Linked DNA regions of Pelodiscus sinensis. The protein of the gene in region 2 interacts with the protein of the main gene of each other region in a pairwise test. Links are inferred from orthologs where the notes say so. Each region holds a gene or a part of one and is shown on either strand. Other genes may lie near its edges.

What was found.
Region 1: the proteins of TMCC2 (region 2) and IQUB interact in a two-hybrid assay, tested with the Homo sapiens proteins (2 studies listed by BioGRID and IntAct). The two-hybrid records come from large-scale screens. The link is inferred for Pelodiscus sinensis from reciprocal best matches to the Homo sapiens genes TMCC2 and IQUB.

The regions. Positions count from the first base shown.
Region 1 is NC_134711.1:40,750,759-40,766,192, forward strand, and holds the start of IQUB (IQ motif and ubiquitin-like domain-containing protein), read left to right. Parts: upstream 1-8,751; 5' UTR 8,752-9,129; intron 9,130-9,196; exon of another isoform or gene 9,197-9,343; intron 9,344-10,270; 5' UTR 10,271-10,377; intron 10,378-10,712; 5' UTR 10,713-10,716; coding exon 10,717-11,515; intron 11,516-13,228; coding exon 13,229-13,363; intron 13,364-15,107; coding exon 15,108-15,275; intron 15,276-15,383; coding exon 15,384-15,434. Other genes in the region: NDUFA5 (NADH dehydrogenase [ubiquinone] 1 alpha subcomplex subunit 5), read left to right, coding at 6,565-6,666. UniProt on the Homo sapiens protein: Adapter protein that anchors the radial spoke 1 (RS1) complex to the A microtubule of outer doublet microtubules in axonemes. The triple radial spokes (RS1, RS2 and RS3) are required to modulate beating of the sperm flagellum.
Region 2 is NC_134737.1:7,328,257-7,343,918, reverse strand, and holds the start of TMCC2 (transmembrane and coiled-coil domains protein 2), read left to right. Parts: upstream 1-9,500; 5' UTR 9,501-9,695; exon of another isoform or gene 9,696-9,883; 5' UTR 9,884-10,057; coding exon 10,058-10,249; intron 10,250-15,662.

The DNA.
Region 1 (15,434 bases), on a different chromosome or scaffold from region 2:
GATCCCGGGATCCCTACCAGAACAGAGCAGGAACCAACAGGTTCGATGGCGTAGACTTCGCTGTGGCTGTGCACCTTTCCGTTCTGGCGGAGGACCGCTCGGGCCAAATGCCCAGGTGCCAGCTACCACGGTCATCCTGCAAAACAGTCAGGGATCACACAGCCTCAGCGAAGACGGTTGCCATCTCAGTGGGACCTCCAAATTGTCAAAGTTAGACAGGACTCACAGATTTGGCAGACTGCTCTGTTTATTTCAGCAAAGCTTTGCTAAAATGCATTCAGAAAATGTGAGTACCATACAAGGTACAAACCCCTTGATTTTATACAGTCAAAAGGCCAAGTTAACAAGATCAAAGGGTGTGGCAAAACTTCACATTATTAGTGTGGTTAAGTATCTTCATTTCAATATCAAGCACACAGCAATCTCCTGGCTATATCTCCCTGATTATCTAGAATTGCCTAATGTTTCTCTTCCTGTTAAACTCAGGCCCAAATTGGCTAGCACCTTGATCTGCATACCTACAATCAACATTAACATACTTTTCTTCTTCCTCTTAAAAGACAAACAGAATTCCTTCAACTTATTCAATTATTACAGTACAATTCATCTTTCTCTTACAGTATAATTCTTTCTACTTTCACAATCCCAACTCCCTCCCAGACTCCAAGCTCCCTTCTGCACCTAACCTCCATTCTGGACCCCGCATCTCCTCCATTGATATCATGGAAAAGTGAGGGCCTCGACCACTTTTCAAAATCTTGGCATCTCCCCCCCTCCCCCGTCAAATTATTGTCCACACCTACACTACAGCACAGTTGTGGGGAGGGTCTCACCACATACTTACACACAACCCTTGTCCATCAGAGCCCAGCTGCAGAGTCTACCACCTCAGACACACTTGCAACTTCCCCCCCAAATCCCAGCTGTTCCCCCTTCCCTCTCTTCCTCCCCCCCCCCCCCCCCAAATCCCAGACACCTGCATCCCTAAGTCTCCAGAGCCTAGGAATCCAGAGGGAGAAGAGTTCCGAGCTTGTCTGGAGTTTCCTGCATCCCATCTCCTGTAAGGGCGGGCTAGGAACTGCAGCTGCTGGGATCCCTCAAAGTTTTTAATAGCAGCCCGCTGTTCTGCAGCCCAGTTCTGTAGTAAGAAAAAGAAAATTCTGCACTCTCAGGCTACGTCTACACTGGCCCCTCTTCCGGAAGGGGCATGTAAATTTCAGCAGTCGTCGTAGGGAAATCCGCGGGGGATTTAAATATCCCCCGCGGCATTTAAATAAAAATGTCCGCCGCTTTTTTCCGGCTTTTAAAAAAGCCGGAAAAGAGCGTCTAGACTGGCCCCGATCCTCCGGAAAAAGTGCCCTTTTCCGGAGGCTCTTATTCTTACTTTGAAGTAAGAATAAGAGCCTCCGGAAAAGGGCACTTTTTCCGGAGGATCGGGGCCAGTCTAGACGCTCTTTTCCGGCTTTTTTAAAAGCCGGAAAAAAGCGGCGGACATTTTTATTTAAATGCCGCGGGGGATATTTAAATCCCCCGCGGATTTCCCTACGACGACTGCTGAAATTTACATGCCCCTTCCGGAAGAGGGGCCAGTGTAGACGTAGCCTCAATGTTTAATTTTCGCACCTTTTTTGGGTAAAGGGCCACCGACCAACAGAAAATTTAGTTGTGAAGAACACACCAATGAGAAAGAAAAAAACAACCCACTGGCCTGGACCTAAACTGAGAAGCAGGGTTACCAGGGCTCTGCTTGCACTCCAGACTTGGAGGAGAGGTGCTGAGGCTGACTTGCTGCAGGACTGGAATGTCAGCACTAGCTCACCCTGTTGCAGCTTGAAGTCCTGAGATCTGCCAAGGACAAGGCTGTATTAACTCTTGGGGCCTGGAGATTTTATGGCCCTTCCCCACCTCCCAGGCTCCAGAGTAGGGCCAAAAATGAGGGGTTCAATGTATGGGAGGGGGCTGCATGTTGAGGCAGGTGTTGGTGAGGTCTCCACTTGGGCTATGGGGTAGAGCTTGGAATGAGTTGCTTGGGGTTCAGGAGTGGGCTCCAGGCTGGGGCCAAAGAGTGGGCTCAAGGCAGAAGGTTGGGGATTGGGATGTGAGACTGGAGAGAGGGTTGGGGTGCAGGGCACTTACCTGGAGCAGCTGCTCCTATTTTCGGGGGGGGGGGGGGGGCCTGCAGTTCCCATTGGCCGGGAATCATGGACAATGGGAGCTGAGGGGCAGCACCTGCAGGCAAGTGCAGCTCAGGGGACAGCTTCTATTGGCGCTCATGGCAATGCAGCTCCAATCTGGGGAGGCAGAGGAATGGCAGCGTATGGGGCTGCCTTCCCCCTCCAGAAAGGGCTTGCCTGGAACATAAGGGCTGTGACTACATTGGCGTGATCTTGTGCCAAAGTGGTCGCTTTTGCGTAAAAACATGCTGCCTGTCTACACTGGCGAGGAATTCTTGCACAAGAACACTGACATTCTAATGTGTGAAATAGTTCTTGCGCAAGACGCACTATGATGCTTCCGCTCAGGAATAAGCCCTCTTGCGCAACTGTACTTGTGCAAGAAAGCCCTATGACTAAAATGGCCATCGGAGCTTTCTTGCTCAGGAGAGCGTCTACACTGGCATGGATGTTCTTGTGCAAAAGCACATCTCTTGCGCAAAGGCACATGCCAGTGTAGATGCTCTCTTCTGGAAGACTTTTTGCACAAGAACTCTTCCGCAAAAGAGTTCTTGTGCAAAATCATGCCAGTGTAGATGTAGCCAAGGGCTTTAGTGGCTACAGCCCAGGGCCCTGAGCCAAGAGGGGTCCCAATCACTTGCTTAGCTGAACAATGTTAGTGCTCATGTACTCCTGTTGAGACCAGAGAGGAAAAGCGTGGTGCTTGAACAACTTTTCCTGCTTGTTATGTTCTTAGACTGCATGAGCATGATCGGAGAGGGAGGAAAGACTGGTGGGTGGGTAGTTTAAGAAGAGCTGTCAGTCATTCTTGTTTTTCAGTTAGGAAGCACATTCCCAGTGTGGTTGGGAGTATGGGTCTTTGCTGACTCCCTCTTATGCAGAGGTGGGCAAGAGGCAGTTAGTGGGCCAGATCCTGCCTGCAGCCTCCTCACCAGAATCCTTACTACACAGCAGTTCATGCTGCTTTAAACAGCTAGCTGCAAATTGCTCTAAATGCTGGGAGGGATGGGGTTGCTTCACGTGCTGTCTCTGCCTCCTAGCAAAATCTTTCAGGTCCCATTTGCCAGTTTCCAGAAGGAAGCCGCCTTCTTCCCTCACTCCCCCTTCCCTGTCGTGGAACAGAGCCACATGGAGCAGCTAGTCCAGCAGCCAGGCATGGAGCCATTATCAGATTCCTGCAGGGCTGCTGGATGGGAGCTGCCTAGGTAAGTGCCTCCTAGCCAGAGCCTGCCTCTGACACCCCACCTCTTCACCCCCCCAACTTTCTGTCCCAGGTCACAACCCAAACTATCTGCACCTCCTTTCCCCAGGTAACAACTCCCTCCCAGACTTTGTACTTTCTCCTATACCCCTCCCCTAAGACAGAATCCTCCCCTGCCCAAGATCATAACCTCCTCCTTCACTCAAACTTCTTTTCAGATACCACATCCCCAATGCACCCCTGCTCTCTTCTATACCCCATCTGCTGTCTCAGACCCAGCACCCCTGCCACAGAAGTGTGGCTCTTGATGATTTACCAAAATCTTAATCCCATTAATCCCCCGATTTTAATAATTATTGCCCACCCCTGCTCTTATGGGTGCCAGCCAGAGATAGGATAGGTTACAGAGCATCCCTTGGAGCCTGGAATTTCTTTGAATTATTTTCTTACATATGTGGGTTGAGTCGCCCTTGTGGTTACATGGAGCTAAGACATTTCTGCCCTTGGAATGTTCTTGAACTCCTTTTAGGCAATCTGATTCATAGTTTGGGAACCAGTATGTTGTAATATCACTTGGAGTGGGCGTTGACTAATCTGAGCTAGGGTTGGCAGGATTTGTAACGAATGTTTGTAGTGAATGATCTCATTTGTGTTATATGGAGTTATATAACATGATTCTACAATTTCTTTTAATTGTAAATCAAGTCTTAATTCTGCACCTGATTAATCTTCTTTCTGCAAATGGATAGTAAGCTCTTTATGGCAAAAGCACTCTTTGTGTAGCAGTTATCTTGGAGCCCTCTAGCAATTACTGCAATACAAATAGGAATTTACATTTTATGCTTGCTGTGATGGATTTCATCTCGTGTGTGTGTGTGTGTGTGTGTGTGTGTGTGTGTGTGTGTGTGTGTGTGTGTGTGTGTGTGCGCGCGCGCGCTCTCGTTCCACTCAATCTGCCTGCTTGTCCTCTAGGGCGCCCCACTACCCTGTCATGCTGGGCCAGAAGCTCTTATCTCCCCTAGCCAAAGCACAAAGCTGCAGTAACAACCGCTTAGGAGAGCTGAACAAATTCCATTCTGAGAGGGCTCAGCTATAAGACTGGTGATCCAGGAACACAGCCCTGAATAAATCCATCTTACTCTTTATAAAAGTTTTCCACAGCTCATGAGATCAGCCCTGTTTATTAATGAAGGGAAGATCTGCATGGTGGTTACCTCTGTCAGGTAACAATTACTTATATTGAGCTTGATAATATTTTATTCAGTATAAAAAGGTAGATTGTAAGTGACTGAAGGTGACAACAGGCACACCAAAATAAACAAAACATGCCAGCTAATACACTAAGAAAATTGTTACATTCAAATTCTTACCCTAACAGTTCTAATATTTTTCACAAACTAGACAGCCTCCTAACTTGAGCCAAGTCCTTCCAATTGTTCAGTCTTAGATGTTTCCAGCAGCATCTTGGATGGTAAGAAGGGGATTCCTGGTCTACGTCTACACTGCAGAGTTTTTACGCAAAAGCTCATGGAGCGTCCACACTACAAGGCTACGTCTAGACTGGCATGATTTTGCAGAACTACTTTTAACAGAAAAGTTTTTCCGTTAAAAGTATTTCCGCAAAAGAGCGTCTAGATTGGCACAGAGGCTTTTGCGCAAAGGCATCCGTGCCAATCTAGATGCGCTTTTGCTCAAGAAAGCTCCGATGGCCATGTTAGCCATCGGGCTTTCTTGCGCAAAAAATTAAGGTGCCTGTCTACACTGGCCCTCTTGCGCAAGTATTCTTGCGCAAGAGGGCTTATCCCTGAGCGGGAGCATGAAAGTATTTGCGCAAGAAGCACTGATTTTGTACATTACAAAGTCAGTGTTCTTGTGCAAGTTCAAGCAGCCAGTGTAGACAGCTGGCAAGTTTTTGCGCAAAAGTAACCGCTTTTGCGCAACATCTTGCCAGTCTAGACTCACCCTAAGTGTGTTTTTGCACAAGAGTTATTTCTCTTTCTATGAGGAATAAGTCTTTTTGCACAAGAGCTCTTGCACAAACAGCAATGTGTGGATGGACAACGGGTTTCTTGCGCAAGAAACCCCTATCAGAAAAAGCACAGGTGCTCTGCTATTCACAGAATGGCCAATCAGAGCTTTCTTGTGCAAGAGAGTTCATGACAGTGTGGATGCTTTCTTGCGCAAAAGCACATCTCTTGCGCAAAAGCACATGGCCGTGTGGATGCGCTCTTGCACAAGAAATCTTCTGCAAAAAGTTCTTGCACAAGAAGCCTGCAGTGTAGATGTAGCTTTGGTGTCTGGCCATTTGGTTTCTTGCTTTTAAAATCCCTTTTTCCCAAGGTGGAAATTCTTTGTGTGCAGTTCAAACTTTTCTCACCTTGAATGGGAAAGTACAAGACCCAAAATGGGTTCCAGCATTAGGTGACTGGGGCACATATCTTTGTAGGACCAACTGTAGCTTGAGCTTACAGGAAAAACAAACCCATTTAGTGTCTTGAGTACTGGGCCTTTGTCTCCAGAGTATTACCCTGGCCCTCACTAGCACATCTAGAATTATAAACAGATTCACACTTCATATTTCTAACTTTACATAAGAATGATACATGCACAAAATATACACATTATGTTGCAACTTTTAAAATGTCACGTGATGCATTTTGCCTAAAGTATCTTAAGCCAGTTTTCATAACACATGGAGAGATTGTGACACTTGCATTTAAAACAAGTTGAATTGCTGCTATTCTGGTTTTAGTCAGTTTTTTCCTCACTCATGTTCAACTAATCAAATTATTAATCTGCAAATTAAAGCTAGAAAATAAGAGGTTATGTCCCAACTAAGGAACTCTTGTAAGAATGTATTGCTCATGACATAATTGTAGCTATAGGTTAAGTAGAGATGCAAATTTCCACAATTTCTAAATATACCTGCAGTGCTGTTTCACATACTCCTGTAAATTTGAACTCTTACCATGATTAGAGTGGGCTTCATGTCTGAAGTCAGTGAGAATAAAATGTATGGCTTTGCATTGTGATCTGTAGCCCAATGACTAAATTGCTTGTAAATCACTCTAGATGGAACTTTGGCATCTGAATGCTTTTGAAATTCATAAGCAGTGTTCTCCAATTATAGATTAGTCAGTATCTCAAAATACAAAATATTTTAATTATATTTTATGTTTTCATCAACAGGCTGAAAGTGAGCTCTCTCTAGCAAGAAAAATGGCCCAATGGAAGCCATGGGAACCATTAGTTGAAGAACCTCCTACTGACCAATGGCGATGGCCAGTGTAATAGTTTTATGTCTAACTATTTGAGAACTGAAAAAAAACCCTTAATTATTGATATCATGTTAATAAAAATGTCTTTAAAGAAAATGGCTTATGTGTATAATTTATTTTGCTTCAATAGCTATTTAAATGTAGCAGGATGTAAAAGTCCAGTCTGACTTTCTTGGGCTTTACTAAAACTTTGTTTAGCTGTTACTCTGATTTTTTTTCCCTAGCTTGCTGATTTAATTAACAATATATTAAGTAGAAACTTTCTTCTTATTCTTTTCTGATTCATCTAATTTTCACATACCACTTCTTGACACTTAATTACCATGGCTGTCATTTCACATCTCAGACTGTGGTTTAACCAAAAAGAGGAAGGGGAGAACTACATTTTACACACAGTTGATGAGCCACAGTGAGATAAATACAGATGAAACTGTGTGTTTGATACTTTTGACTAAAAATGGCACATTTGCAAAGCCATTCTGGGGGAGAAAAAGCTAAGAATGACGTCTGCAAACAAAACTATATACAGGCAGTCCCTGACTTACGCGGATCCGACTTATGTCGGATCCGCACTTACGAACGGGGCTTTTCTCGCCCCAGAGCTCACGGGCGGCGGGTCGCCACCCATGTCTTCCGGGGCAAGAAAAGCTTCTCCCGGTCTCCCTGGTCTGCTGGGGGGGTCCAGCAAAGCCGCTGGACCCCCCCCCCCCCAGCAGACCAGGGACACCTGAGCAAAGCCGCCACCTGGGCGGCTTGGCTCGTTTGCTCAGGAGCAAAGCTGCCCAGGCGGCGGGACACCCGCCGCCTGGGCAGCTTTGCTCCTGTCCCCCTGGGGGGGGGGGGGGGTCCAGCAAAGCCGCTGGACCTCCCCCAGCAGACCAGGGAGACAGGAGCAAAGCCACAGGGGCGGTGGGGTTCCTCCGCCTGTGCAGCTTTGCTCGGGTCTCCCTGGTGTGCTGGGGGGGATGGAGGCGCAGCTAGTGCGCCCCCCCCAGCAGAGCAGGCTTTTGTTGCAGGATGCCTTGGGTAGAGCAGCTGGGGTGCTGCCGGGTTGGTCCTGTAGGAACCTACCGGGCAGTGCCCCAGCTGTTCTGTCCCAGGCTCCAGATTCAGCAGCTGTTGAAACTGATCAGGCTGATTCCAGGAAGCTGGGGGCAGAGCAATTCTGCCTCTGGCTTCCTGTAGTCAGCCCCTGGTCAGTTTCAGTGGCAGCAGCTGAATCTGGAGCCAGTTCTGACTTACATACAAATTCAACTTAAGAACAAACCTATAGTTCCTATCTTGTACGTAATCTGGGGACTGCCTGTAACTATTGGAGACAAAGTACTGAAGTGCCAGTACTGTTCCACACATTTAAATTTACTTTGATAGTGTGCTGGTAATTTTTAAGGACCTTAAGAATCAGGATTATACTAGATAGAGCATACAAACGCATCTGTAAGTCAAATGCAAATAACTTACTTTTCAAATTTTAACAGTCCTTTACCTAAGCCAAGACTTAAAACTAAGATCCCAAACTACACAACTTGGAGTAAGCTATTTGGAACTTATTTCATGTTAATTATATATTCTAAGGTGGTTTACTTCTTGGGGGAGGGGATAACAAGCCCAAAGAGTCAGTGATAGAGGAATTTTCAGTATGACTTTGGACATGGAAAAATCTGTGAACAGCACACATGGCTCTGTGTTGTGTGCATTCAGCATGCACCTCATTTAATGTGCCCTTGTTTCCCATGCATGTCATGGTAGTAATACTGGTAGGAAAAATATTTGGTTGGAAATAAGCAGAATCTGAAACTAAAATGGTATTGTAGTGGTTTATAATGAATATGGAATAATTCAAGTGTTAATTTAAAAGACTTCATAAATTAATAGATCATAAGTCACATAATGCCCACTAGTCTATCTTTACAGAGTAACTTGCATACTGTAGTCAAGATAAACATAATTCTTACGATATTGTTAGTGACAAGTCCCTTAGGGTTCAGTTCTGCTTCGCCTGTAAAAAGTAAAGCACTGCTAGGTATAATGCAACCACTACCTTATGGCATCTGAGCACTGGGTATAACTGCACTCACCGGTATTTCTGGCTCACTTCGATAATGTACTTAATGAGCATCACAATGATGACGACCGATGAACGGTCGCATTTTCAAAAACGTGCACGCACAATGCCGTTACCATGGGGTTTGCACCCACAAGTCAGGTGGGCGCTTGCATCTGTGTGTTCTGCAACGGTGCCGCTAGAATCTAAGCTGCCTAACTAATCACAAACACGCTCTCAGCGCCCCCGGCTCACGCTTCAGTGCGGTGGTGACCAGAATTTAGAGAGAGTCTCGCTGGAGGGCGCGCCAGGGTTTTTGTTTTTGACAGGCCGTTGGTCTCCCCCTTGCGCTAGGGAACAGATGCGTAAGCTGCGGAGAGGCTAGAGCAGAGCCTGGACTACAGCGCCGCGGAGCCCTTGTCTCAAACGCAGGTCACTACGGCTCTGCTCTGTTCTCAAGCCTTCGGGCCAACATTGGCCCATAACGCGCATGCTCCTACTCTCAGCCCCCTCCCTACCCTGATCTCGCGAGAATGTGTAAAAGTTCGAGGTTGCCATGGCTGCAACCACAACGCGCTGGCGTTCGAGACTGAGAGGGGGCAGAGGCGTCTTGCCCGGGAAGCGGCGCTGACGCCTTGGGGCTGAGGTAAAGGGGGCTCGAGCAGGAGTATAAGCCGGTCCCGCATGAAGGAATTACAAGGCGCCGGCTGGCTCAAAGTCACCTCGGGAAACGCTGCGTCTCCCAGCATGCACAGCGCCGCTACCGCTGTAGGGTTAAGGAGGCGGGGCGGGGGGGCGCCTCGAATGCCAGGAGTGGGAGTCTGACGGCTGCATCTATAGAATGGGCTCGGTGGGCTGTGGTGCATTCTGGGTGTTGTAGTCCCGTTGGTGCATTTTGGGGTCCTTACCAAGCCGCAGTCCCAGTCCCCGGATAAAACCACGTTAGGGGTTTAGTGGGACAGTCTCCAAAGGGACAGCCTCCCCATGTTGCTGCTCGCCCAAACCCTACCTGCCCTCCTCCGTCCTCCCCGTGTGTGAGTCTGGAGCTGGTATTGCTGCTTGCTTGAGTCTTGCCTGCCCCTCACCAGAGCTCGCTCTCTCCCACTCCCAAGCAGGGGGCTGGCATCACCACGTGCACCCCACACATTCTTTCACACATGACTTTTTTGACAAAAGTAGGTAGTTGTCCCATTTGCTCTTGACAACTTGATTAGTTGGCAAAAACAAAAAGGACAAATTCCAGTTTTTGCCAAAAAAAATGTCTGAAAGGCCAGAGCAGTGCTTAATGAAGGGACTGTTGTGGCCAAAAAAGGATATAATGTCACCCTGTGCATTGACATCTTTCATGAGCTTGGTATAGTGACTGCCCATAAAGGTATCACAATACTGTATCAAAATGTCATCAGGTTCCTCAGAGGGAACTCGAGACATCCCTACAGATCCACTGAAGTTGATAGTGAGACTAGAACACTGATAGTTGAAAAGTCACTCTGAGATCCTTCAATGTATCTCAGATAATTTTCCTGTGTTGTGTACATGACAGATACAAAGAAACAATGTTCTTTTGCCTTAGGCACCTCAGCAAGGTCTCACTGATTGGATACTCTTCAAAAGGACAACAATGTGATGATTCCAGTGTGCATTAGTTCCATTGCTTCTGTTACCATAATATCCGACCAGGTAATTATAAGAGGCTCTGCTCTCTAATGGAATTTTCTCAGTGAAGTCTTAATTGTATCAGGGGAAAATTTTACCAAATAATGGCTAGGCTATTGTGTCCCATGGTTAGTGAAAACAGTTGGAAGGACTTGAGGCCACTGTTGCAAGGATTAATAATACTTTACTTTTTGAACCAAAGATCCAAGCCACCATTAAATAGGCAGTATTGTGACTGACACGGCAAAGTATGTTTGGTGATGTAAATGTTGGGGATAGGTATCACTATGAAATTTTAAAATAAAAAACTGTGAATTATTCAAGCAGGAAACTTAAAAATATATAATCTTAAATTTCAGGAAAATGGCTGATCCAAAGGAGGTGGTTGATAGCCACAGTGAAGCAGATAAAACTGAAGTATCAGACACTGAAAAGCAAATGATAGATCTCACACACAGAAAGCCACCAGAAGAAGATGATACAGAGACCGATCACATTAGCACTGCAGAGACATCGGTTCTTCTGAAAGCAAGGACAGATATATCACAGTCAAATGAGGATGGACTACAGAAGGAGCAGGAACCAGCTCCAGAGACTTGTGGGGAGGAACCGGAGCAGGAACCCACTTCAGAGGCTCATGAGCAGGAACCAGGTCTTGAGCAACTAGAGCAGCCAAAGGTAGAAGGGCAGGAACAAGGTCTTGAGGAAGAAGAGCAGGCAAGGGTGGAAGGGCAAGAACCAGGTCTTGAGGTACAAGAGCAGGCAAAGCTAGAAGGGCAGGAACCAGGTCTTGAGGTACAAGAGCAGGCAAAGCTAGAAGGGCAGGAACCAAGTCTTGAAGAACAAGAGCAAGCAAAGGTAGGAGGGCAGGAACTGGGTCTTGAGGAACAAGAGCAGGCAAGCATAGAAGGGCAGGAACCAGGCCTTGAAGAGGTTAATGATCTTGCTGTGAGCAATAAAGAATTGCTTGAAAAAAGTGAACAAGGTGCAGCTGAGCCAACTGCTCCATTAACTAAAGTGACTGAAGAAATTTCTCAAATTACTACAGAAACATTTGTTAAGTTGTTAGCAGCTGAAATGTACAACTTAGGTAGGAGGCAACTGGATGATTTGGAATCTGAGAGGTCCTTACCAGAAGCAACAACAAATGCTACAGCAACAGGTATAAAATTTGCTTCACATAAAAATTGGTTGTTACTGCCATATTTTTACAAATGCTGTGTTATATTTATTCACAACCTACCAATGGTTTCTTGGCTTTTGCTCATTACCTGATTGAGGCAACATGGACTCCATCCAATATTTGATATTTTTGAGGTAAAAATAAACTTTAAACCATATTGCATTAGTAAAAATTGTGTTACACCATATCTACCTGCTGAAACACCAGATAGATCAAAGTGATATTTTATTCCTAACCTGGTAGCAAAAAGTGTTTTATATATCAATCCCTGTTTCTCTGTTGAGAATTTTCTCTTTATTGAGAACTACAAAATAAACTGTCATTATTGGCATGCCAGGTCACACAGCACTGCTGCTATTGATATGTTTTACATTCTGATTTGTTTTCATTTTGTAATTTTGGTGTAAATTGTTTTAAATGTAACATTTATAATATAAATTTTATTTCTTATATCTAGATATATGTACACACTATTATGCACATCTACTATATATTTAAGAGAGTTTGTTGTGTGTCACTCTGTGTGAGTGTCTGTCTGTTTGTTCAAGAATGCCTAAACAGTAAGAGCTATGACCACAAATTCAGTATACAGCTTCCTCTTATTATAACTTAAAGCCAGATAATGGTTTGGTTGTGCCATGACAATGGGATGTAAATGTAATGGGATTGCTTCTCATAAACCATGTAGAAAAGATCCAGAATCATCAGTCAGGTGAAAGGAACTGTCTGGGGGAGCGGAGGGGATGCACTCCAGGACTGCTCTAACTTTAAGCCTCTCCCCAGCATCCTTTACAGAGGGCAGGGGATACTGAAGCTCCTCCCTCCCCCAATTTGTATGAGAACATTGCTGACTTTTCCTCTTTGTCAGGGAATGAGGGGGAAAATGCACAGTTTGCTGCATTCCTCACTCTGGCTGGGGAGCACAGGGGACAGATAAACCTGAACCTGCCCTAGCCAGTGGACATGCATCCCTCCCCTGACTGTGCCAACTGGACCTGCAGCAGCCATAGAGATATACTTCTCACCAGGCCCCAAGGTGCTGTGATGGAAGAGGGCTTGGGTAGTCCCTCTCTCCAGGGCAGCCTGCGTATTGAACTTTTCATCCCCAACCCCACCCCAGAGCAATGATCTAAATGAAGCATGTACATTTTCTTTTTATTTTTAAAAAAAAAACACCAAAATTAATTGAGGTAAGGACACGAGCAGTGCTGGGTAAATCATCTCGTGAAGCATATTTGGAAGAGGGGAAAAGTACCTTATGAATATTGGAAGAGCTGAAATTCAGTTCTTCAATCTAAATCAGTTTCTCAAAGTGATCCACAAGACCTCTTTGAGAAAACAGTTAAATGGCTGCTGCAGTGTGTTTACTTACTGACATCATGGCCATAGAGTCTCGTGGCTCCTATTGGCTCCATTTCACTGTTTGCAGCTGAGGGGAACTACAGGAAGCGGTGTGGACCAGGTCACTGGTTCCTGCAGCTCCTCCTGGCTGCAAATGGTGAAACGGAGCCAATAGGAGCCACGAGGCTCTGTGGCCGTGGTGCCAGTAGGTAAACATACCTGAGCAGCCAGTTAAAAGGTTTCTCAAAGTGGTTTCATGGACAACTGTGAGAAACACTGGTCTAAATAAAAGGATTTATCATCCATTCAATTTATATAACAGGAATTGGTATCTCTGTTTATTTTCCTCAGTTAAAATCATGTTGGTTCCTGATATCCAGATGATCACAATGGCTTTTAACATTAACCAGTCCGTAGGGAAGCTGAAGCAATACTTTGCATCACAGCTAAAAGTACCACAGGATGTCTTACAGGTCGTGTTTCAAGGTACGGAGCAAAGATTTAGTAAAAACCTTTCTTTGTTTTTCAGCCCTATTAAAAATCATAAATGATTAGGCCCTGATCCTGAAATTGGATTGTCAGAGGCAGGCTTTGGGGAAGGTCCACAAGAATAAAGGAGTCTGTTCATGTGGATCCAATGGCAGGATCATGACCTTACTTTGTACTTTTTGTAAGAATATATTTCTGGCATATATTATATAGTAAATTGAATAGACCTGGTGTCAATCACTAAACAGGTCTATTGAATAAAATTTGCATTTGTACATCAACTACTTCCAGAAGAACCATACTTCAAATATTTTAGTTGGTGAACCAAACACAATCTTAATATTTTTCAAATACTGAAACTATATTTTTATTATTATACACCAAAGATTTTCCTCTAACATTTCATTAAAATATCATGTCTGGGCTGACCCCAAATTTCAGAGTTACAGATACTTTTTTTCTTCTTTAGAAAATGTTACAACAAATGAAATCTTAGAGTGTATCTGATTTAATAGCAGAGAGCACATATACTCAGCAGGGCTAACGTCAAAATAAGCTACAGATCTTGAACTATGTCAATTGTGTAGCTTAAGTTGAAATAGTGCCAAAAGCCAAAATAAGCTATCTACACAGCAGGAAGTCTGAGAGAGAGCACTCTTCCTCTGACTTCTCTTGCTCCTTCTGAAATGAGAGTTACAGGACTCAGAGTAAGAATTTCTCCAGCTCAACATTGCTTTTACATTATGTTGAATAATTATTTGTAGTGTAGATGCGAACTATGTTATTTTGGAATAACGTAAGTTATTCCGAAATAACACTTGTGTAAACGTACCCAGAGAGCTAGGTAGGACTGGAAAAGAAATAGTTGGTGTTTTGTGGTTAAGGGCACTAGAAAATGAGTAAGATCCAAGAGGTAGAGGCTGCTCTGGAAAATTACTAATTTTAATATTTTTTCCTTTGTGGCAATGACACAGAGTAGGCGCTTTTCCTGGCATCTATTTCTCAAAACTTGTTGCTTGAGTCAGTTTTCTCTTTTTTCTTTTCCTGGAGGAACTGCAGGATAGACCAGAGATGACCAAAAAGTGACACAGAGTGGCTCCGTGCTGGGAGACAATGGAATTGGCAGGCTAGGCTTTTCAAACCTGTTAAAGTTATATTGGGATACTTTATCAAAACCAACTGAGACCTAGCATACCCAGGACTCAACTCCATGTATTTTAGTACTATCTTTCCATTAAGCAAGATGTATTTGAAATATTGCATTAAAATTAAAGACAGTTTGTATCAATCTGAGTTAGTGTTTAAACCACAGGTCTGCATCAGATTATGCATTTCAGCTTTCTGGCCATTTTGTTTATTGTGCACCCACATCAAGTTTGAAAATAGAAATATTACATTTACTAATACACTAAATCTTCAATGAGGACAAAAAAGTAACTAATGTAAAAGCTAGAATTTTAAAGAGCTATTTAACAAATAAGGTAAGTAGATACTTTAATTTCTGTGCCTTTTTTCTTGAAAGTGAATATGATTTTTTTTCTCTTTGTATGATTGTGACAGAGCTACCTAGAATATCTTTTGGGCAGAAGTAACACAGACTTTCCTAAATTGAGATTAAACTGACTCAACACTCATGTTTCGCTAAAATAATCTGTAGTTTTGATTTCTTCCGAGGAAAATGCTTGACAGTATCCTCTTTTATTAGAGAAGAATGCCTTACTTTGTTTGTTTTGTTTTAAAGGGAGGCTGATTGAGGATGGTGAAACTCTAATGCATATTGGAGTTAGGCCTCATGGAACTATCCAGATTGAAATGTTTTCTCTTGATCCAGAACAGTACCCAATCAAAACAATTAAACTGCAGCAAGACTACAACATGCCTGATGTCATAACTGTGAGAGTGCAAACAGGTCAACAATATTTTTCAAATATGCATTAATATTAATATTTGTGCCATATTGTAATCAGATTACTTACAGAATAGTATATAATTGTATTTAATTATTATATCTGAACAGATTCTGACACATTCCAGGATGTAGCAGTAGAGATCGAAAGGCCTACTTATC
Region 2 (15,662 bases):
AGTGGCCACCAGGGAAACCTGGGGAGGGCTAGCCTCCCACTAGTTCGAACTAAAGGGCTACACAGCCCTTAGTTCGAACTAGCTAGTTCGAACTAGGCGTTAGTCCTCGTAAAATGAGGTTTACCTAGTTCGAACTAAGCGCTCCGCTAGTTCGATTCAAATTCGAACTAGCGGAGCGCTAGTGTAGCGCATAGGAAAGTTAGTTCGAACTAACGTCCGTTAGTTCGAACTAACTTTCTAGTGTAGACATACCCTCATTTACTCGCTTTCAAAATACCAAATTCAGATCAGTCATTCATTTACTTGCTTTCAAAATACCAAATTCAGATCAGTCATTCATTTACTTGCTTTCAAAATACCAAATTCACCCAAATGTAGCACAAATTATATATAAGAAAAAGAACAACATGAACAATAAAGCTAGTTTAATCATGATGGCCCTTTAAAAAATTAGAATTAAAATTATGTTTAGCCAGAGCCAACTACACTTATTTATGTCACAGATCTAGAAAGATGTAAAGCAATTTCCATAGAATCCCTACCTCTTAAAGAACAATTTGTTTCTTTTACAATATTTCATTGCTGTCTTGACATATTAGTAATACCCATGTCATTCATTTTCCATTTGCGTTTTGTGTTTTAGCAAATAGCATTCTGTTTTTTAATATTTCTCCCGGTTACAGTTAACATTATAGTTCAAGAATCTGATCCTATATTTCTGTAAAACCAGCTCCCTTGGGGCTCTGGCTCTGTTTGCTCCTTTTTCTTCCATGTGTTTAGAGTCTTCTTAATAATTTGTTAATATATTAATGAACAAACTGGTTTTACTCTCTTATATTTGTGAGTTCTTAAGTATTCAGACAAATGAAAATGTTTGCAACTTTCAGAAATTTCACAGATGTTAGCGCAAATGATTATCAGAAAATGTCTTCCGTGTTTATCGTTCTCTAGTTTAAAAAGTTCACTCAATCAAGCAGGAGAACAGTACCAATGTGACTTAGATAATTGATTACACGAATCATCAAGAATGAATAGCTGCAGTGAATCGTTGGCAGACATCCAAACTCTTCGGCTACGTCTACATTGCAGGCTTCGTGTGCAAGAACTGTTTTGCACAAGAGTTCTTGAGCAAAAGGTCTTACGCTAGAGTGCATCCACACTGCCATGTGCTTTTGCACAAGAGATGTGCTTTTGCGCAAGAGCGTCCATAGCAGGTTGAGAGATGGCAGCATCGATGACAGAGGTTGCAGATGGGAGTCACTAATAAGAGTTGGCAGCATTTTGTGTTATTTTCCTTCTCCTCTCTAAGGGTACATCTACACAGCAGGGCTAAAGTCAAATTAAGCTATATAACTTCAGCTACGTCAATTGCGTAGCTGAAGTCAAAATAGATTAATTCGGCATTTGGTGCTGTCTAAACAGCAGGATGTCAAAGGAAGAACACTCTTCCTCCGACTTCCCATGCTCTTCCTGAAATGAGCGTTACCATGAGTCAGAGGAAGTAGTCCTCCAGCTCAACGTTATTTCGAAATAAAGGCTTGTAGTGTAGATGTGCACTATGTTATTTCAGCATAACGTTAGTTATTCCAAAATAATGCTGCTGTGTAGACATAGCCTAAATGATAGTCCAACGGCTGGACTTTGCAAATGATGGGGAATAGGTTCTGAAGTGGAAATCAATTCTACTTCCTCCAAAACAAAAACCAAAACAACTGCCTCCCCAGTCCTTCTTATCACCCTATTTTCAATGTGCAAACAAACTCCATGCTTTTCAGACCAAAATTCTGTTTTCATTAGACTCCTTAAAGGATCTTTTTCTGTAGGAAAAACAAAATGTACCAAGGCTATTTCATACCCCCAGACACGTGTCCTGTGAAAGAGCATATCATTGTTCTAAGGACACCATATAACAGCATCTTCAAAAACACCACTGTATTTGCCTTGGAGACATCCACCAAGGCTGTTCTCAATACTTAGGGCCAAATTCTGTTCTCAGTTACAACTAGAGTAACTCAAAGATGTATCTCCAGATTTACACTTACGTAACTGAGAGCCGGATGACCCATTTCCCATCTGAAAAAACCCCTCCTTTATGCCTTTTCCACATTTTCTTGATCTCCTTCCATGCCCTATGGCCCTTATGATCTCTGCTGAGCTGAAATAAGTGATTTATACACAAATTTTCCATAGCATGACATTCAATTTTTATGTGTGAGAATGTGGTTCCCTTTTGATATATCATTTCCTGCTTGATAAAATGCTATTTACATCCGCCCTCCTCCCTCCTCTCAACCTTTCAGTCATAAGATCAACTTAAGATATACTTTTCAACTGCCACCATCCCTTCCCTCTCCCTGGTTCCTTTTCTTTCCCAGCATATGGAGCTGAATAGTTGGCAAGGTCCATGAGCAGCATTTTGGAAGGTTGTCTCCCAGAAAGGCCTCTGTTGGTGGACCTGCTAAATGGGCTTATGGTTGAATAGAAAGATTAATTTGCTGTACTAGGTTGGTGCTGTACTAAGGTCATGCCTAAGACAGAGAGCGAGAGACTGATCAAACTAAGGGTACATCTATACTGCGTCACTATTTCAGAACACTGGAAGTATCCTGAAATAGCAACACCCCATCTTTAAAAGCACCTGCTATTTCCCAAAATAGCAGGCACGCTATTCCAGCGCCCCTGTAACTCTCATTCCATGAGGGTTAAGGGATTTGTCAGAATAGTGCCTTATTTTGAAATTTGGTGCTGTCTACACAGCGCCAAATTTCAAAATAAGCTCTTTCAACCAAGACTCGGAATAAGCTATGCAATTTGCATAGCCCAAATTGTGTATCTTATTCTGACCAAAGGGTGCTGTTTAGACATACCCTAACTTGTAGATTTTTTTCTGAGGACAGAATGGTGGGAAATATCTTGCAGGTAATTATTGACTTTTCTTTTGAAATCAAATGCATTTTGCTGCATTGTGGTTGAGAGAAATAAAGGCAGCAGATTCTATCTGCACATCACCCTGATATATAGAAGGCAGCATTTCAATCACATCTATCTATTCCATGCTCATCCCTGGTATCTGAGCTGCTGAAGCCCCAACACCCCTAGCAAATGCCTAGCAGTTGTTTGAGTGCGGTGATTCCTTTCTGAGACTGCAGAAATTGACAGCCTTATCTCCATGGCTCCACCAAGCAAGAATCCCACTGCAACTCCACACACCAAAGACAAATACCATACATCAGGTATTTGTGATCAGATACATGTCAATCTGTATGTTTGATTTGATCTGTGATCTCTCACACACAACGAAGAGTGCTTGATGCCTCTCAGCAGATGAGAGTAGAGAAAAAATATTAAGCCCCCATTGTAAAGGGCATGTCTTGATTCTTCTTGATTTATGACGGGCCAGACAGAGCTAATTGGCATACATCCCACAGATGTTGTTTCCAATCAAATGTAAAATGTGTTTAATGAATAGCAACTTTCGCTTCTCACAATCCCATGTTTATTTTTAAAAGATAGACCTAGATGCTAGGATTTTGATTAAAACAATAGAACGTTGTTTGGAGATGAACATTGTTTATGGAGGCTGGATAGTTCTCCCCCAGGACAGAGTGATGGCATGAGGTCTGTCTCCCACCTACGTGCCATTTAAGTCATATTTTGAGGATTCAGGTGGCACTTAAGCAGTATATATGCTTTTTGCTGGCCTTCTGCACAGGGAACTTCACCAATATATTGTCTTTTCAGTGTTTAATCTGGATTATGCAGCCATAGGACAAGAAGCAATGGGCTTAAATTGCAACAAGGGAGGTTTAGGTTGGACATTAGGAAAAATTTCCCAGTTGTCAGGGTGGTTAAACACTGGAATAAATTGCATAGGGAGACTGTGCAATCTCCATCACTAGCAATATTTAAGAGCAGGCTAGATAAACATCTATCAGGGATGATCTAGATCAGGGCTACTCAATACGCATGTAGCCCATGGCCCGTTTGTGTGCAGCCCATGGTGTGGTTTGGGTTTACGCGTGTTATGCTTAAATGAAGCACACAAGATCTTTTATGGGGGAAAAGGCAGTGCACTGCATTTATTGAGAATGCAACAGTTGCATATGCTTTTCAATCATTCACACACAAACACCATACACACACACAGTCCTGCCAGACAATGTTATAGTTACCAGTCCAGAGTCTGGATCAATCTAGTGGCCAGCCAGACTGATCACAGAGGGGGAGCTGGACTCTGTCTGTCAATCATAGAATAATAGGACTGGAAGGGACCTCGAGAGGTCATCGAGTCCAGCCCCCCGCCCTCAAGGCAGGAATGCTCCTGGAGTTAGTGGCAAGACGAACCCAAAGTTCCATAGCAAAGCACCCTGCTTTTATAATCCTCTTTACCTGTTGAAGTCTATGGATTTCACTGTGTCAGTCTGTGACCAGTTACTGTTATCTTGTCGATGTTAATCATTCCCAAAACATCTCCAAAAGGCTCATCCTGTCCTGGATGTTAATCAGTTGTTTTTAGGGATGTCTTTACGTTTAGAGTCGTCAATCTGCCAATCTGATCAATTCTTGACCAGGGGTACGCACTGATGGTTTCTCTGATGCCAATATGTCTCTTCGCAGTCTGTCTTTTACAGTTTGTCTTCACCCCACATTCTCCCCCTTCTCTCTTGACCATCTTGCTCTAACAATGACCTTCACACCATATCTCATTCATACAATCAGTCTTTCACAGAGTACAAACAGCAAAGTTTTATATTGAACAAAAGCAAACAGCATTGTAAATAGCCTTACTAAATTTTGTAATTAAAATAATTCACACTGAAGGATCGGGCCTTCAACACTCCTCTAATCTCATTGACATAGACACAATATGAGATCTTGTCTCTCTACTTACTAAACTTTAAAATATATATATATATTACTAAAGGGCTTAGTTTAATAAAATATTAAATGTGATACTATGTTACCTTACATTGCTACATTATTAATCCTAAAATACAAATATAAAACGAATAAAACTTTCAGTTCCAACATACGGAACTCAACATGCAGCCCACAGGTGGGATCCTTTGAACATGGCCTTCACAGGGAACACGCTTCACAACGGCGAGGCATCTCCCATGTGGGGTGAGCACTGAAAGACGCAAGCGGACGGGCTGGCTGGAACAGACGGGTGCAGGGTGTCGGCATTTCTATCCCCCAAGGAGGAGGTGCTGGGAGCACCAGGGCATTGTGGGACGTGTTGGCTGCTTAGCCTTGTGGGCAGAGCCTGAGAGGTGCTGACTGACTCACACTGGCCACGTTTGGGTCCGGCGCCACAGCTTAAGGCTTAATCTCTGTATTCATTCCCGTCAGTGGGAAAGAAGCAATTTGCATTTATATTTGCCTATATATGCAACCATACTTAAGTTGCAGCCCTTGGCATGTGCTGTGAGTATCATTGTGGCCTCGGGGGCTTCCAAAATTGAGTAGCCCTGATCTAGATGGTGCTTGGTCCTGCTGTGTGGGGAGGGGACTGGACTTGAAGATCTCTCAAGGTCCCTTCTATGGTTTTATGATAGGGCCTGATTGAGAGAGGTGGAATGAGGGACCATGGAGGCTGCAAGTCATCAGCACCTCTCAAGATCAGAGATATAGTGTGATCGTGTTGTGTTGTTTAGTGGTTACAGCAGGGAATAAAGGTTTGTGGGTTCTGGTCTTGGTGGTGGCATGACATCACTGCCCACAAATCACTCCCCTGCTCTGTACCTTAGTTAAGTTACCTGTAAAATGGACATAAGTTAAAGAATATGTGGCCCACAGATGGTGGGAAGCCCATCTGGTTAGTGTTTGTGAACTTATTCCAGATCTTCAAATGAAGGGTGCTGTCAGGGAACAACATACTATATTTTTGCTTCAATTGATCCCTTAAAATTAAAGAGTACTATCCTGTGTTTGTGACTTTGTCAACCAAAGCTTAGTCCCACTCTTGAGAGATTAGCCTGGGCACCTACAAATCTATTCTTTACCCACATTGATAAAAGGATACCTTTATCCATTAAGGTTTTGTGCTTGACAAAGAACAACACAGGCATGCTAAACTCTTAGCCCTCATACAGATGAACTAATATGCTTATGGAGCTATATCAGGACAGAGTAAAAATAACTCTTTGCAGAAATAGTCCGAGCAATAAGACCACCTACTGGATCACATCTGCTCGGTACTGAAATAACATGCATCAGTCAGAAACGGAAGATAAGAAAAATGCTGCAGACAAGATGAGAAGCTTTCATACCCAAAACAATCCATTTTCACCTGAGCCTTTCCTTCTTGATGAAACAGGACAGGTGTGAGCTACCAAAATCATTTTGTTTCATTAGAGTAAATAGAATTACCTGTAAGGATTAAAATAAAATGTCATTATAGGGCCATGCTCTGAAGCTTTTAATTATTTTTTTAGCCATTTAAATCATTTTTAGACATTGTACAGGAGTTTTGATTGAATAAAGAGTGAGCAACATATGATTTAGAACTTCAGGATTTGGACCGTTGATTGTAACATCTTCATTTATACATTGATATATTAAATCAATACTACTACTGAATATTATCATTGCTAATACCAAATAGCTCCTTTCATCTAAAGATCTATAAATAATTTACAAACACTAAGCCTTCTCCTGCTTTAGCTTTGAAATGCAAAAAACCTGATGCCGACCTTTACTGAAAGAGGCAAGCCCACCCCAACCGCAAGACAACTCTGCAACTCCTCCTCTTCCCTCCAGCTTCCACAGCCACTTATGGTAACTAGAGAGATCACACATGGGCTGTGTCTAGACTGGCAAGTTTTTCCGCAAAATCAGCTGCTTTTGCGCAAAAACTTGCCAGCTCTCTACACTGGCCACTTGAATTTGTGCAAGAGCACTGACGTTCTAATGTAAGAATTCAGTGCTTCTTGCACAAATACTTTGACGCTCCCACTCAGGGATAAGCTCTCTTGCACAAGCATACTTGTGCAAGAGGGCCAGTGTGGACAGGCACCTTAATTTTTTGCGCAAGAAATCCCGATGGCTAAAATGGCCATCGGAACTTTCTTGTGCAAAAGCGCATCTAGATTGGGCCCAGATGCTTTTGCACAAAAGCACTTTTTCGCAAAAGCATCCATGCCAATCTAGACGCTCTTTTGCAGAAATACTTTTAACGGAAAAAATTTTCCATACTGATAAAATTGAACAACATAATTTTCTTATTTAAACTGCTGAAATGGGAACACTGCAGCATCTTTGGCAGAACACAGACACATTTAACATTAGATATCCTAAAGTTTCAGAGTGATAGCCGTGTCAGTCTGTAGCTGAAAAAAACTTAAAAAATAATGCATAGTCTTGCAGCACCTTAGACACTAACAAAAAATGTAGATGGTGTCATCAGCTTTAGAAGTGGGTCGTACCATCCACAAAAAATGAGGAGTACAGGATTTGTGTCAAAAATGCCCCATCTAAACTGCCTTTTTTTTCAAAAAGAACCATTTCGAAAAAAAAGCGGCTGCCACCATTATGCAAATGAAGCGTGGGATATTTAAATCCCCACTTCATTTGCACTTTCGATATGTCTAATTTACATCCCTCTGCCAAGAGAGGGGTGTAGTTTAGACACGGCCTTGACTGGCTCCGACCAATGATGCATCTCATACCTGTCTCTCGCAGTGGTCAATGCCACCTATTTCAGAGAAAAATGTAAGAACCCTGCAATTAGCAGAAGTGGGGTGCACTTTCCCCCATATAGGTCTCATGCTGCTGCTCCTTCATAGGTAGAAATTGGCTTAAATCCAGAATCATTCATGAGACAGTGTTAAATATGGATATACTTATACTAGCTGGTAACTCATCAGATTGTATGCATGTTTGATGCTATTCTGTCTTCTTCTATCACTCTCCTGGTCACCTCTTCACTCATCCAGCCTTTCTCCCAGTTCCCACAGCTCTTGAGCCGCATGAGGCTCTTTGCTCATAGAAATACAGCTCTTATCGGGGTTACCATACATCCAGTTTTTTCTAGATATGTCCTTTTATTCCCATGTTAAATTGCCATCTGGCTGGCTTTTTTAAAACACAAAAAAGTCTGGGATTTGAGAAGGGAGCACCTGCCTTCGAGGGAACGTTCGACTGTCTTTCAGAGCCACGTGCCTGGACAGTTCATGGCTGCTCTGCGCACACGCCCCAGTGCCTGGAGGGAAAAGCGTGTGGCTGCGGCGAGGCTCCAATGAGACCCAGGGTGTTAATAAAAGAATAAAAGAATCTGGGCTGCCTGGCTCTGGGGGAGGAGTGGGTGCATTAGATTAGAGTGAGGGCAGAGCCATTTTAGAAAGTTTTATTTTATTTTTTTAATGGCCTCCCTCTCTGCAGGGGTAGAAAAAGGGGGAACCAGAGGAGCCTTGGTCATTCCCAGAGAAGTTCACTTCACCTGTGAGATGCCAGCAGGCCATAGGCAAGGGCTGGGGAGGAGAATCCTTTATTCCAAACAAACTTTGAAGAAAAGCCAATCCCTTCTGGAGGTGAAGATGGCTCTCTCAGAAAACACAAGGTGAAAAACTGCAAGTTTGCATGGTTTGGGTACAAAAAAAGGGCATTTTGTTCCAACTGAGACAGAAATGGAATTTGGTATTTTTCAGGGTCTACATAAAAGGGCACAAGAAATTCAATGCGAGAAACAGTAAGAATTTCATGCAACCTGAGTGCTAATTGTCTTACTGATTTTTCTTCTGTCCATGCAAGAAAGGAATGCGTTTGGCAAGCTCTGACTGAGATTATTAATGGTCTGTCTGTGTGTGTGTGCGTGCGCGTGCAGATGCGTGTACCTTAAAGGGATGAAAGAAAAATCTCTTTGGGGGGCAATTAAGTTTAGGAAGTTGGAAAAGAAAAGAAAAGAAAAGAAAAGAAAAGAAAAGAAAAGAAAGAAAGAAAGAAAGAAAGAAAGAAAGAAAGAAAGAAAGAAAGAAAGAAAGAAAGAAAGAAAGAAAGAAAGAAAGAAAGAAAGAAAGAAAGAAAGAAAGAAAGAAAGAAAGAAAAGAGGTAGGGAAATGAAAGGAAGACAGATAGAAAAAGGGGAGAAGCCCTGGCCAGCGATCAGAGAACATCATGCAAGTAGGAGGAGTTTCCATGGCAATGAAGAGGTGACTATTCCACTCCCCAGTGCATCTGTCTAGCATCCTCCCCTTGCAGAAGTGGGGCAAGGTGGGCTCCTGTCTAGGGTCCAGGTGCGGGGACCTTGCAGTGGCCTCCCTCCCGGCTCTGCAGCACCCTGCCAGCTGCTGCCTGCAGTGCAAAGCCGCAGCCCGGTGCAGCACCATTCCCACTGACAGCTCCTGGGAACCGGGCTGGGAGAGGCGGGCAGCTGCCGGCCAACCGAGCCTGAAAGCGGCTCGGCGTCACGCCCCCTCCAGGCTCCCCACTCCATCGGCTAGCTCCGATTGGGCCGCGGCGGCTGTCACTCAGGCTCCCCCGCCGGCGGGGCGGATGGGTTAGGCTGAGCAGCAGCCGCGGCGGCCGCATCCTTGCGGTGGGCAGCGAATCCGGGGCAGTGGGGGACAAGCGGCAGCAGATGTCCAGGCGGCGGAGGGGGGAGGGGGGGCGGCGGGGAAGCGATGCCCCCCAGGCCCGAGGAGCTGCAGCCATGCAAGGCTCCAGCATTTTGCATCACTCCCTGTTTCTCCTGAGCAGTGAGTACCAGCGTTGGGGGGAGGGGGGAGATGATTAATTGCATGAAAGGGGCCCCCTCCCGAAGCGCAGATGCAATCACTGCAGCTCAAACAGAGGGGAAAGTTGGGGGGGGATAAGGGAATGACCTTCCCTTCCTCCCCTCTCCCCCTGCAATGAGTTTGTTTGGATAAAGGATTCTCCTCCCCAGCCTTTGCCTGTGGCCTGCCTGCATCTCACAGGTGAAGTGAACTTCTCTGGGCACTGACCAAGGCTCCTCTGGTTCCGCCTGTCCTGCTTTTTCCTTGTTTTCCCCTTTCCATTCCTCTGCCATTCCTCCAAGAAGTGGAAGTGCAGCTCCGACCGCCCACCCCAGCTCGTCAGCATGAAGAGGTGCAAATCGGATGAGCTGCAGCAGCCTGAGGAGGACTGCGCTGGGGCTGAAGATGCTCCCAACCTGGCTGCCATGGATGCCAAACCCGGGGATTGTGCTTCCGCTCTGCCCGATTCGGGCGCCGCTGCTCACCCAAACCCTGCTCCCCATCCTGTTCCCCGGAGCAAGCCTCCCGATTTAAAGGTAAGCCTCCCAAGCCACCGCCTCTGCAGGTATTGCAAAGGGACTTGGGTTTTTCCTGCATGCTGCTGGAACACAAGTTCCATCCAGAGATTCATATGTGGTTTATTATTTGCATGAGAACTTGACTTTCTAGTTGAGGAGTAGTGATGATTGACACATAGCAGTATTTTCTTTTAGGGTTCCCCCATTGTACTCCTCTACCCCTGCTGTGTACAAATAGGTATGTTATGTGTTTTTAAGCCTATTCACCAAAATATTTTATTTAAAAAATCGTAGCTTGTGGATGCTACAGAGGTATTGAAAGGGCTGTGGTTTATGGGACATGAAGAGCAAAGGGACACTAGTTGTGAGTTTGTAAATTGATGTTAGTCTTTTCTTTAAGAGAATCAGTGCTGAAGAATAGTCATTCATACCCCAGCTTCTGATCCAGTTTACACTTTCTTGATTTAATCTGGATTATACTAATGTCACTGAGATCAGAATCTGGTGATCTCAGCTAAAAAAGGTCTGAAACCATGCCTGCGGCGGGCCTTTCTTGAAGGATGAGGGACTGTGGCAGGGCCCATGTTCTGCAGAGGAACTCAGCAGATCATGTTAAATAAAACCCAGGGCAGCAGGTGTGAAGGAGCTAAACTAGAGAACACCCACACCTTGTCTGCTTTAATTCAAGTGCAGCTGCAGTCAGAAAAGTATGTAAAAATGCCCCCTTCTCACTCCCAGCGCTGCCTTCTGTGGGTCACACCTACATACTGGCAACAATATGTTTTTACTAGCACTGCAGAACTGGTACAGCTCTGGGAGAACAAGCTGGGTTCTGTTTTGCCTTGCACATCACCATCAGAGCTACTGGCTAATCAGTTCCTATTGGTCACCGACATCAGTGCAAGAGGAAGAAAGGGCACTGCAGGAGGTCCCCCTTTGGAGCAATGCTGCTCCGGAATCATTGGAAAAGAGGGATACACGGGAAATCTGACTTGCTTTATTTTCGCAGAGGCAAGTTTTCTGACTGTGACTTCTCTTCAAATTCTGCAGGCACTGCAGTGCATTTCACTAGATCTAAAACATGTTCTCACCCCGACTTGATAAAATAGTGCACCCCTTATTCTAATAACACTGACCCTAGAGTGATTTTTTTTATCAGTTTCAATGTGTTGTACAGGAGGTATGTGTAATTAGCTGCAGGCAGGGAAACTGAGGCAGAATACCAGGGCCTCGGGTTGTGTAAGCCATATTTCATTGGCTCCAGAAAAGCTGCAGGGATTATACCTGCTGATGATCTGGCCCAGAGAGGTTAAACACCTTGCCCAAGTTCACACAGTGGTGGATGGTACCTAAGTGTCATGACTTTTAGTCCAGTGCTTCATCTCTATTTGCCAGTGTCGCCAGTTACCCCAAGGCAGATGTGAATCAAAAATGTCCATTAGGCTGTGTAATGTCATTAGGCAGGTGCCTCTCTTCCTCTTGGAGTTGTGGAGCTCTCGGCTTCTCTGTCATTGGCTCTTTCCAGTTGCTGTTGTGCTTTCGGATTGAATGCACCTGTCACTGCTGCTCTATGAACAGCAATAAAAGAGCTGCTAAGAGTTATGCATAAGACAGATGACCAGAGCCCCCGGTGGTATGCTTACCCCACGTGCTTCCAAAGTGGCTTTTGCTGGCCGACTCCTTCAATGGACACTTGGCCTTCTGCTTGCATGGCCATTCGAGCAGCTCCATGCATGCCTGATCCAACTGCTCAGCTGTTCAGACTGGCCTGCAGTGAATTGGATGGGGGCAGAAAAAGGTGAGGAGGCACGGAAACGTAGGAGAAGGGACCAGGGAAACAGAGCACAGGCTGAAGTGGGTGGCAGGACCCTTCCAAAGAGAGCAAGGGGGAAAAGCAGGCAGGAGAGGGAAAGATGGAGAATAGTTACGGGAGGCAAGAGCAGCTGAGAGCGGAGATCAAGAGACACACACACCAGGGCAAGCGAGCCCATGTCATCCCCAGCTAGTGCATCTCATCCTGAACTGGAGCAGCCACTTACCAGGACTGGGTGGGGAGTCCAGTCTCAATGGCTTATTTAGTCCTGGCCTCCTGTACTGAGACTGCAAGCTACGGTGCTAATTATGGTGGCTTTGTCCTGTGGACAACTGTGCACTGAGACTCCTAGGCCCTCCACCAAATAACTTCATAGCAGAATAATTTTTGGTCACCAGTGACCTATGCTGGACGTGTACCGGTAACCTGGAAAAAAAAGGCTCCCTTCTGTTCTCTCCAGTCTCCTTACTTCTCCAGCCCCTTCTCTGCAAACGCGTGGTGGTTTCCTCTTGTACAAGTATTAATCCAGTTCTTTTGGTATGAGCAAGCTTCCCATGACCAAAAAAAAAAAAAAGAAAGAAAGAAAGAAAAACACTTAAGAATCCTGGCAAGAAGCAGAGCAGATGTGTGACACATAATTCTGCTTAAAAATATGTTGGGTGGTAGATATTTCTGAGCTCTGCATCAACATGCCGCAAAAGAAGGCATTCACATCTTCTCTGGAAGAGATGGTAGGCTGGGTGTCCTGTGGGGAAGAGATCATAAAGGCATTTTGCCCCTTAGATCTCATTTCTGTCTTCCCCAGGCAGCTGTGATCTGTGCAGATTCTCTCTGGTTTTTTTCCATAATTGCCTGAGTTTGATGGCCACAGGAACCAGGGTCTGAATGTTGAAACCTGTCATGGTTTTGATCTAAAATCATCTCTGTCGTCATGGTCCCCGCCTCTCCCCTTGTGTTTGACCTTGGAAGTGAAGAGCAGCTGGGAATCTGAAGGCTCCACTTGAGTTCCACTCCTCTCCCCAGGCCTGATCCCAAGCCCGTGGAAAACCTCCCCTTGCCTTCACGGAGCCCTAGCATAGCCCACTTGTGTGCTGCTCCGGGGTGTCAAGGAAGTGGAAAGCAGCCAGGTCCTCTCTGCACATTCCCACCCTGCTGCAGGAGCATTCCTAACAGGTGCACAGCCAGTGTAGACAACTCCTTTGTCGCGCCCCCTCCTAGGGCAATGGGAGTGGCCAGCTTACACTGCACCATGACGGTCTCCTGGAGGCCTGAGCCTGTTGGCATAGATTAGAGCAGTCCCTGGGCAGGGCATAGCTGAGGCTCTGGGCTTGGAGCTGTCAGTGCCTAGCTGGGGATCCCAGACTTTAGCACTTACCTCCCCCACCTTGGTCAGTGTATGGCCATCAGGGCATGGTGCTTTTCACCCAGACTTTTCTTGACAGGGTGATGGACTTTGTGAGCAAGATTTAACAGGCAGGGTCCCATTCTGTGTGGGCTGGGCTGGGCTTTAGCCTTGTTAACTTGGCATGAGTTTGTAGCAACAGGGTTGAAAAACTGAATAATTCGTCTTCCTAGGGCAAAGCCGTTGCTCCTGCTCTAGGGTTACACCCCTTGCAAACACAGCCTGATCTAAAAAAGCCCATTGTAGTCAATGGAAAAAGACATAATTGGGGATTGGATCAGGTCCGTGAAGCCACACCCTACAAACTAAACTCACTTTGAACCTAGACTTCACTGGAGAAAAAACTCTCATTGGGGCCAAACCCTGAACTTTTGACTCCACTTTTACTCTTGCTCTTTTATTCCTTATTCAGGTAGGTCTGTTTTTGGGGTACAAAGGGACCCATTAAGAGTCCCTCTCTTTCCCAACTTTCTAGATTGCCCTCCTAGGCCAGGTCTACACTAGGAAACTGTTTCAAAATAACTACATTGGACTTAACTCCCGATTTTACGAAATCAAAATAGCATGTCCCCACTATGGAGAAAGCCTCGAAATGAGTCTGAGGCAGGCTCCATTAATGTGGATGTGCTGCCTCCACTTAGAGCCCCAGGAGGCACTGGGGAGTAATTAGTTCGAATGACTCTGGGGAATCATTATTTCGAAATAGCAGCATCAGAGCAGCCACATTAACACTATTTCAAAATTAGCGTTATTCCCCAAGAAAAGCAGGAGTAGAGATTTTGAAATAACGGGCGTGGTCGTGTGGACGCTCCTCTTGTAAATTAGACCTAAGGGGGTTATTTCAAAATAAAGCCCTAGTGTACATCAGGGTCTAGAGAACCTTTCAAGACCCCTTCTTGCAGCTTCGGCCAGAGAATGTCCATGCTCCTGACCCAGGAGTTGCCCGCAGGGGAAGCTAAGACATTCCGCCCCCCCCAAAAAAAGACATTATCCCTAGATATACTAGAATTCACTTCCTTGTCCCAGCCATTTATGTGAATTTTTTGGTTTCAAAGGACACCGTGAAGGTGGGTTATGTCCCTATGGTTAGATGGCCCTGAACAGAAGTGCCCCAGTCACTGGAAAGTCCAAATTTACCAAATTCATCTTGGCTCCAGGCATGGATCCCACCAATTCCCTTTGCCTCACTCATGCGCACACCAAGCGCTACATGGGGGACTGTGCTACCTGCCTCCAGCTAATGTAAACCACCATTTCAGAAGTGTGGGGGTGTGAGTAGGTGCTCAAACAATTGCTCAAAGGCAAGAACTCCAAGCAGTTAATTAATACCACCACAACATTCTTCGGTATCATGTCTCATGGGGAATAGGTTAACAGGTTTGGCGCACATGTTCATTGCACAAGTCTGGAACATCGAGGTTCTGGATTCAGTTGTGAATTGCATCACACGTGACGTGAGTTTGGGTGGTCTCAGCCTGATGCCAAAGAACCTTGCACTGCATGGCTATGGGCTCTGCAGAGGGAAGCTGTATTTCCTTTCCCTAGTCCGGGTGGTGATGCAGTGACTGAATAGCCATTGGAGGAAGCTTGCACAGTGCTTCTCCATATCAGCCTCTCACTGCCGTGAGCATTAACGTTTCCGTGCCTTCATTGTGAAAGGCCTCTTGCTAGCAAAATTCATCTACCTGCCTCATCTTGGAGGAAGCCCCAGGTTAACTGAACCTTCCATGGGACCTCAGATCTCTTGGGCAACTTGCCCTTGTTCCTTCATGTTCTCTTTTCGTGCACCCTGCCTCACACAAGAGGAAATTCACCCCCATGCAGCGAGTGGTCACAAAAACCAACGTGCCACTAGAATCCCACTTGAGCCTCCCAGAGAGGGCACCGGAGTCTGGGGCATAAGTTTTGGCCTGCACAGTGGAGAATTTCACCCACATGGTCAGGTTTAGAACCATGAATCTCTCTTACCCATTATGCTCCCTGCTGCCACCTGCTTTGAATATCCATTGCAGGGACTCATCTTTGTCCATTAATAACATTCCATTGAAGCCACCAGTGTTCTAAATGGGTCTAGTACATCCAATACTACAGAGATTTCATTCAGCCACACAGCAAGAGCAATTGACCTGCTTGAGCCTAGAACAATGCAAATACAGGTACATTCAGCCTAAAACATACCTGCAACATTCATCAGCATCCAAGCAGTTACACCCTAC